Linked DNA regions of Caenorhabditis elegans. The protein of the gene in region 1 interacts with the protein of each later gene in a pairwise test. Each region holds a gene or a part of one and is shown in the gene's direction. Other genes may lie near its edges.

The links. The genes of interacting proteins can lie anywhere in the genome.
Region 2: the proteins of crb-1 (region 1) and apx-1 interact in a two-hybrid assay, tested with the Caenorhabditis elegans proteins (one large-scale study listed by BioGRID).

Annotation. Positions count from the first base shown.
Region 1 is NC_003284.9:17,410,999-17,415,724, reverse strand, and holds the start of crb-1 (uncharacterized protein), read left to right. Parts: upstream 1-1,710; 5' UTR 1,711-1,875; coding exon 1,876-1,921; exon of another isoform or gene 1,922-2,033; intron 2,034-2,473; coding exon 2,474-2,759; intron 2,760-2,805; coding exon 2,806-2,905; intron 2,906-2,951; coding exon 2,952-3,102; intron 3,103-3,601; coding exon 3,602-3,744; intron 3,745-3,789; coding exon 3,790-3,885; intron 3,886-3,954; coding exon 3,955-4,396; intron 4,397-4,486; coding exon 4,487-4,626; intron 4,627-4,693; coding exon 4,694-4,726.
Region 2 is NC_003283.11:3,208,575-3,213,188, forward strand, and holds the start of apx-1 (Anterior pharynx in excess protein 1), read left to right. Parts: upstream 1-1,614; 5' UTR 1,615-1,654; coding exon 1,655-1,931; intron 1,932-3,105; exon of another isoform or gene 3,106-3,517; coding exon 3,518-3,641; intron 3,642-3,694; coding exon 3,695-3,816; intron 3,817-4,614. UniProt on the Caenorhabditis elegans protein: Probable ligand for lin-12/Notch and glp-1/Notch receptors and involved in the mediation of Notch signaling. Involved in the lin-12/Notch pathway signaling of cell fate in vulval precursor cells (VPCs), acting redundantly with dsl-1 and lag-2.

The DNA of each region.
Region 1 (4,726 bases):
AGCGTATTTTTGCGCCGTATTTTTTTTCTGATGCAAAGTCCCCAGATAATACCATAAGTAGAACGCGATCCGAGAAGCTAGCCACAGGGGTGATTTTTTTTCGTTGCTAATTTTTTTTTGCTTTTCAAAATTGTTGTTTTCCGTAAGTACAATTTTAGCATTTTTTTTAGGAACGACAAAAAATCGTCAGATCAATTTGTAATTTGAAATTTGAATCCAAATAATCTCTTGGTTTTAAAAATTTAGCATTTCAACAAATATCAACACAAAAACTAAGTTTAATTATTCAATGTTTATCAACTGAATTTTTATTAAATTGAAAAAAAAGTTGTTTTTAAAAGTTGTTTTTTAAAAATTTATTTCATCATGTTACCGTGAATTGAAAATTTGAACTTTTCAGTTATTTGAGAAGATTCCCTATTTTGAAAATGTTGGCAACATATTTTTGAGCGTAAAATGTTCACAATGAACTGTAATTTTTTGATTAATCAAAAATATATATCAGAATCAATTTTAAGGTTTGTGACCTCCAACATTTCCAAAAAACATAACTGATAGCATAACAAGTAAGTTCAAAAACTTTGCGTCTCTTGAGTATTATTGGGAGGTAGTTTGAAATTCCCCAACTATCTTTGAAACATTTGAGAATTTCACTTTTTAAAATTATGTAATTGATTCACTTGTTGGTATTTTTCCATGAAATTCCGACAGTTTGCCATTTCCAAATGCGCGGTCATTTGTCAACTGTGCTCCGCCTTGGCCTTCATTTCTACTCAATTTTCTCAGCAAAGTTTGTCCCGTCTAAACGGAACTACTAAACTTTTTTGCTTTTGCCGTTTTTATTTCGGAAATTTTTATTTGAATTTTCATCCAAATATTTTCTAAAAACGTATTTCGATATCGGTAACCCCAGCAAATCTCATTTTTCCGCATAACAGGACAAACACACTGTCCTTTTCGCTTCACTTTTTTGCTATCCCCTTCTTTTTTCCGTGTGCGTGCCGGGTGAAACTAGTCTCATCATTTGAAAATTGTCTGTATAATATCCGACCTACTACACATAAAATATATAGATGTTGGAGATGTTGACAGCCGGAAATTGTTTGGAACTAATTAGCTGCTGAGGGTTTTTTGCTGTAATTCAAGTGGACCCAGCACTTTTTGAGTATTTTGAATTTGTACTTACGCATAATTAAGCTTGTTCATTCTTATTTCTTTTAAATAAAAAAACTCCTGAAATCACAATAAAACAATATTGTCGCTTGTTATGGGATAAAACCCCATATTTCAGCTAATTTTATTAACACATACAAGTACATTAGGAACTAGATGATAATAAAAAAAAGTAGGAAATATTTTATCAGACGACAATTAAAAGTAAAATCAAAAGCATGAGCTGCCAAACTGAAACGAGCACAAAAAAAATGTCGAAATTGTACAAATACTCTCGAAAACCTTTTTTTTTAACTAAACGCTGAATTTCTATGTTTTCACTTTTTATAAACGTTTGAAAATTTTGTATATCTTCAATCACTCGGTCAACTGAAACTTTCCCTACTATTTCCAAATTACCGTCGAAATGCCACAGGGCAGCTAGCTGACCCCTGGCAACCACGAGATTCCCCCCCCCCCCCCCTTCATCTCTCTTGCCCGTGTTTCCTCTTCCGTTCTAATTACCTGCTTATTATCCGACAATACACCTGGCTCTCTAGGACCTTCTCTTTCTCTCTCGCGTCACTCCGGCAGCTAGCGTGTGCGGTACAGAAGAACAATCGTCAAGCGGCAAACTACCTTTTTTACCTCCAAACACAAAACAATTCGACTAGCTGCCGTCATTACTCCTATTTGGGATCTGCATTCAATGATCTACCACTCATGAAATATCAACATTTTCTCATATTTTGTACCCTGGTTACAAATGGTAAGTCTACTACTAAGATATGATGTCATTCGGTTTCACAGACTGATTGATCTGAGTGTGAAAAGTTTTGGTTTAGACTAGATGAGAGATAGAAATGTATAACACGAAGTTTAAGTGAACATCTCAAAAACTGAAAATCTAATTTAAATTCAAAATATGTTTGAGAAAGTTGATTTTGGGCTTTTAAGTGTTGAGCATTGTTGTATCTGAAAACTCTCAATTTTTGCAGCCCATCTCTTCTTTGATTTTGTAATCGTTTATATATTTTCAACTAAAATTGTAAACAAATAACTATTAACATATTTGTCGGTTAACAATTATTTCAGAAGCCCAGACCTTTTCAATAAAACACATGACTTCTTTCTCTGAAAATTAAATGAAGCTCGTATATTTCATACCAAAAAACAAAATAAATTTCTAAATTTTGTTTTCCAAAGATCAGTTCCAATCTAAAACTTGGACAAAACTACCAACTGACTTTTTGCAAAAAGTAATCCATCATTATCATTAAGACAGATGAATACCACAAGCTGTCACTAAAACTCTTTTCAGCACTATGTAACAGAGCGTGCAGTCGGAACACATGTCTTAACGGCGGAACTTGCACAGTGAACGATGAGACGCGAATGTTTCAGTGTGAATGTCCGAAGGGTTTCAGTGGGTTGCTATGTCAGGACAACTGCTCTTTGCACTGTCTCCACGGTAACTGCGTGAAAGGAACGTTTGGCGAAGAAACTTGCCAGTGCTCCGAAGGATGGATGGGCTCACTTTGTGATAATCTAGTTACTGATGATGACACTGCTCAAAAGTGCTCACCGCAATGTGGCGATGACGAAAGGTATACATGACCTTGTGCAAACCAAAAACATGTATGTTTTTTATAGATGCACAAAAGGAGCCGACGGATCATACATTTGCCAGAGCAACGAGCCGTCTTGCGCAACACACACTTGTCAGAATAACGGCACTTGTGTTGCCGAGAACGTGAGTGACTTGAGTCCAGAGTGATAAAAACCAATAGAATGTTCAGGGAAATGTAAAATGTGCCTGCCCACCTGGATTTGTTGGAGATCACTGTGAAACTGACGAGGACGAGTGCAAAGAAAATTTTTGTCAGAATGGAGCAGATTGTGAAAATTTGAAAGGAAGTTATGAATGCAAATGTTTAAAAGGATTTTCTGGTGAGTTTTGGTTTGAAAATTTGGATGGGAAGGATGAAATATAGTTTTCCAGTAGACATAATTGTGAAAAAAAAACCTGAAGTTTGAAAAACGTTTAGTTAGATTTTTTCAATAAGACTAGTGTGAATTTGATCAAAAATCATTTATAAGGTGCTAAATGACCAAATGTCATAAAAAATTTTCTAAACAATTCGGGGATTTTTTATCTCGAGTCAAAAATCGCATACATGTTTTTGCCACGTTTCGACAAATCTGAAGCATTGTCATGTTGATCCCTTTTGGCTCGAAATAAAATCATTTCTTCAGGTTGTTCAAAAAGTTTTATTATGATATTTGGACAAATACCCAGTTTTTTTGCAATACTTATAGTTTTCAACTTTCTTATTATTTTCTCAATTTTGTTAACGTTGCTGATTTGTTGAGAGTTTACATTCGAATAAATTATTTTATAAAAACAAAAGAAAACTAAGAAGAAACATGTTTTCACAATTTCTTCTAGGTAAATACTGTGAAATCCAAGACAAGAAACAATGCACTTCTGATTATTGTCACAACAATGGTCAATGCATTTCGACTGGCTCCGATCTCTCCTGCAAGTGCTCTCCCGGGTTTGATGGTGCATTCTGCGAGCTCAAAGCAGAGGTAACACCAATTTTCTCACTGTTAATTGCTTGTGTTTTTTCTCAGGTTAACGAGTGTATATGTGAAAACCCGGCTCATGTTTGTTCACTCGTAAACGGGACGTCAAGGACAACGCAATGCGAGTGTCCTTCGGGGTTTATGGTACGTTTGACGAATAATCTGGGCATGTTCGGATATGGGTCCCTCGCGCAATCTATCGTTTAATTGCAGGGTGCCGACTGTAAAGAGTTGCAAGCTCGTCCATGCGATCGTGAGCCGTGTCTTAATGGGGGTCACTGCGTCGACGACGGGCAGAATCTCTTCACCTGCTTTTGCCTTCCCTCTTTTACCGGCATCTATTGTGGAGAGCCTGTTGATTGTCTGGTTAATGGATCGGATTGTAAGAATGGGGGAAAGTGTGTGTTCGCGTTAGCCGCAACTACCTGCCAGTGTCCGGAAGGATTCAATGGGTCCAATTGTGAAATAAGTAATTCATATCGGTCACATCCAACATGCAGTGACATTCGATGTTTGAATGGTGGAAGCTGTAAACTCGACGCAGAAGGGGAACCGTTTTGTGTATGTGAAGAAGGGTTTGATGGACCGTTCTGTGAGCCAAAATCTGGATGCACAATTAATCCCTGTCAAAATGGAGGAACTTGCCAAGATGCAGGTAATAAGAAAAAGAATAGAGTTTTTTAGGGAGCTGTAAATTAATTTTTGTGCTGATACTGATACTCTTTAAAGTTTTACAATTTTTCAGATGGACAATACTTCTGTCATTGCACATCAGGCTTTGGTGGCGTCCACTGCGAAACGGTGGATGAGCCTTCAACCCCTATTCCCACATTAGGAACGTTTCCATCTTTTACAACTTCTGGAATCGACGGATTCTCTCAGAGTGTGAGTGTTTTAGTTTTTTATTCAAAATTCGTTCATAATAAATACTTGCAATATTAAAATTTTTCAGAAAATATCTTGCGAAGACTGCGTCAACTCATCC
Region 2 (4,614 bases), on another chromosome or scaffold:
CATTTAAAGAGTTACTGTAGTTTTCGCTACGAGATATTTTGCGCGTCAAGTATGTTGCACAGTACGCATTCTCAAAATTTTATGTTACCGTAATAAACATTCTAGAACCGTTTTGGAATTTTCGCGTTGTAAAAATCTGGAAATTCTGCTATAGGAAAACGCCTTCCTGCCTGCCTGGCTTGAATTAGGGCTTGTGAATTCCCCTCCAAAATGCAGAAAAGAGGCGGCGGGAGGTAGGCAGCAGGTTTCAGGCAGGCCCTGAAACCTGCCTACTGTCTACCAGAGCCACTGATGTCTCGTTTTGAAGACGATTTGGTAGCAATTCTGTGTAATTTTTTTAAAAGTTTTACGATTTTTAAGTATAAACTGTAAAATTAACCAAAATTTCAACCAAATTCGCTCAACCGTAAAGTTTGAGTCCACCGATAAAATTCGCCACAATCACGTGGTGTCATGGTGTCTCATTTCGGCTTGATCTACAAAAAATGCGGGAGAAGAGGCGCCACGTTCTCAACAGATTTCGTATGGTTAAGAACGTGTTGACGTCACATATTTTTGGGCAAAAAATTCCCGCATTTTTGGTAGATCAAACCGTAATGGGATAGCCTGTACAATTTTGACCTTGTTTATCGCAACTTGTTGCTCGAAACTATGCTCATATACAATAATTTTCGTGTTTATGTGTGTGCCTATGTTCACAGCTGTTTTCACCTCCGCTCTGCGTCTGCGTCTCTCCGTTTTCTCTCACATACACACACAGTCTTCATTGGGTCCTAGCTGGCTGGTTCGAAAGGGCGGAGCCTCTATCTCGCCGGTTTCCGTGTCTGCGGCAGCAGTCTGTTTCAATGAGGAGTGCGCGTTGGCCCGAAGAAGACAATTAGAATTCGATTTCTGTGTCTTCTTACTACTCGAAGTGTGTTCGTTTTTTGATTGGAATATCATATGCCTCTGGCTAATTGCTTTTTTTGCCGGTTTTGTTTCATTCAGTTAGTGTTGTTATCCGTTCCTGTGATTAAAGAAATTCGTTCCTAATTCCTGTTCCACGTGGACTCAAAGTGTCTCATCATTGCGCTTTGATCTACAAAAAGTGCGGGAATTTCCCCCCATTGAAAGTGTGACGTCAGCACACTCTTAACCATGCGAAATCAGTTGAAAAGTCTGCGTCTTTTCTCCCGCATTTTTCGAAGATCAAACCAAAATGGGACACTTTGACGCCACGATTTTTCTTGCTCCTCTGTACTTTTTTTGTCACTCAAAAGCACGTTCTTAACCATGCGAATTCAGTTTAGAACTCTGCCGCATTTTTTGTAGATCTACGTAGATCAAACCAAAATGAGGCACTCTGACGCCACGTGGGGTCAGAGTGTCCCATTTCGGCTTGATCTACGTAGATCTACAAAAAAATGCGGCAAAGTTCTCAACTGATTTCGCATTGTTGATAACCTTGCTGACGTCACATTTTTTGGGCAAAAAATTCATTCCCGCATTTTTTGGTAGATCAAACCGTAATGGGACACGCCTCGCTTTGAAGTCATATAACAGTTTTTCCCCCCTGCTCTTCAATACTTTTCAAGCTTGAATCGACCTCATTTTTCAGTTTTCCATTAATTTTCCAGGTTCTTTCACCCGCCCTTCTAGCACACGATCCTGTACTATGACTAACTTCTCTTCCCTTCTCACCACCATCTTCCTCTGCATCATCAGCTCCGCGACCGGCTCCGGAACCATCGAGCTGCTCATCTCATCCCCACAAACCGTGCTCGTCGAGCCGACGGTGTGCGCGAATTTCGAATGCGCGGCACCCGATGATCTATCGTTGGCGCGAAAAGTTCAACGAAGAGTTCCTCTCCGCTTCGGCACCGGACAATATCACGGAGAAGCCCGCGAACGCATTGATCTTCACCTCAAAATTATCGAACCAACGAGTAATGGTAGGTTTCAAAGGAAAAAGAGCCCACACTTCCTCTTGCTCTCCTTGTGTTGTTTGATGGTGACCCGTGGTGATAAGATAGTGTGACAAGTGTTATCAGATGGACTGCTAGTGGTCTTTGCAACGGTTGTTACCGGCCCGGGGCCGGGCCGGCCTTTACGGAAAATTTTAAATCTATTTTTCAGGAAAAATCGGAAAAAAATGTTCAAAAAAAATTGGAAACCATATAAATTTATTCCAGAATGAAGAAAAATGACTGAAATTTTGAGCAGTTTTTCAAAAAATCAACAAAAAAATTGTTTCGAAAAATTTGAAAATTTTAATTTTTAGTTTTTAAAAAATCGAAAAAAATTTTTTTGACCAAAAACAACATTTCTTGTTTCAAATTTGGACCAAAAATACAAAAATCAGATTTCTCCGAAAAAAAAACCCTAAAAAAAAAGAAATTTTAGATTTTTTGATCATACCAATTGAAACATAACAATTTGGTCCAAAAAACGATAAAAAACCAAAAAATTAATTTTTTTTGTTTAAAAAAAAAAATAAAAATTCCATTTTTGCAAAAAAAAAAAACCAAAAATTCCATTTTTGCCAAAAAAGAACAAAAACCCATTTTTGCCAGAAGAAAACCAAAAAAAATCCATTTTTGTCCATAAAAATACCAAAAAACCCCCTAAAAATGCATTTTTTGCCAAAAAAAAAAACCGAGAAATCAATATTTTACCAAAAAACCAAAGAATTCATTTTTTGCAAAAAAAAAAACCAAAAAAAAAATCCATTTTTGCCAAAACAAAAACGAAAAAAAATCAATTTTCTTTGTCCATAAAAAAACCAAAAAAAAACCAAAAAAAAATCCATTTTTGCCAAAACAAAACAAAGAAATTATTTTTGGCAAAAAAACACCAAAAATTCCATTTTTGCAAAAAACAAAACCCCAAAAAAAAAGCATTCTTGCCGGAAATCCCAAAAAAGAAACCAAAAAAATCCATTTTTGCCAAAAAAAAAAACCGAAAATTCCATATTTGCAAAAAAAAAAAATTTTTTGTCCATTAAAAAAACAAAAAAAACCATTTTTTGCCAAAAAAAAACCGAGAAATCAATTTTTGCAAAAAAAAAAACAAAAAAAAAATTTTTTTTTGCCAAAACATAATCGAAAAAAAAATTTATTTTTGCCAGAAAAAACCAAAAAAAAAAAAAAAAAAAACGGCAGCCCTGCTTCAGAAAAGTCAAAATTACGAGAAACACTCAAAAATCTGAGAATGCGTATTGCACAACATATTTGACGCGCAAAATATCTCGTAGCGAAAACTACAGTATCCCCCCTTTAAATTACTACTGTAGCGCCGCTGGTGTCGATTTACGGGCTTAATTTTGATATCCGATCAAAAATCGGGCTCGTAAATCGACACAAGCGCTACAGTAGTCATTAACAGGATTACTGTAGTTTTCGGTACGACGAGATATTTTGCGCGCGTCAAATATGTTGTGCAGTACGCATTCTCAAAATTTTATGTTACCGTAATAAACATTCTAGAACCGTTTTAAAATTTTCGCGTTGTAAAAATCTGGAAATTCTTCTTTTTCCAGAAATTCTCGCCCTCCAACACCACCGTCCTGCCGCCGATACGGAATGGAACTCCGACGCTCCGATCGTCATCGAGACCTCTCGTGGCTTCAACGTGACGGTTCAACTGCGGAATTTGTGCAGCTCGTGAGCATTTTTTTTTCGGAAAAAAAATTCCGAAAAGTAGCCAAAAATTCCAGAAACTACCACGGAAAACGCTGCAATCGATATTGTATCGCGAATGCGAAGCTTCACTGGGAGTGCTCAACACACGGAGTCCGCCGATGCTCCGCCGGATGGTCTGGTGAAGATTGTTCAAATCGTGGGTGATGGAATTCTGCGTATTGGGCAGCATATTTGACGCGCAGCAAAATATCTCAAAACTACAGTAATTGACTACTGTAGCGCTGGGGTCGATTTACGGGCAAAAAAATGGAGCCCGTAAATCGACACAAGCTTTTTATCTGAGAAGAATTCTGCGTATTGCACAACATATTTGACGCGCAAAATATATATTGAAAACTACAGTAATCCTTTAAATGACAACTGTAGTGTCGATTTACGGGCTCCTCAAAACGAGCCCGTAAATCGACACTACAGTAGCTATTTAAAGAATTACTGTAGTTTTCGCTACGAGATATTTGCGCGTCAATTCTCCAACTAGTTTCGATCCATTAACCCCCCCCCCCCCCCCCTAGCTTCCGCCGCCGCCGCCGCCGCCGCTTTTTCACACATACACATCTGGTCAATTGACAAGTTGGGTGGGGTGATGATTATTTGGCGGCACTCTCAGAGATCAAAAGAATTGTGCGCGAAATAGGAGGCGTGTCGCGGCGGCGACGACGACGTTTCGATTGAAAAATGATTGAACGGTTTTATTTTTGGGAATTTCCTGTGAAAATTGCCATTTTATGCTTTTTGGGGGGTTTTTCGCGATTTTTTTCCGATTTTCATTTTATGGAAAAATTGCGCCTGTCGAATAAAATTATAATAATTTTCAAATTGGGCCTAATTTTTCAATACTTTGAACCAGGGGCGGGCGGCTAAATGCCGGTATACCGATTTGCCGGAAATTGCCGATTTGCCCGAAGTTTTCATTTTCGACAATTTGTCGATTTGC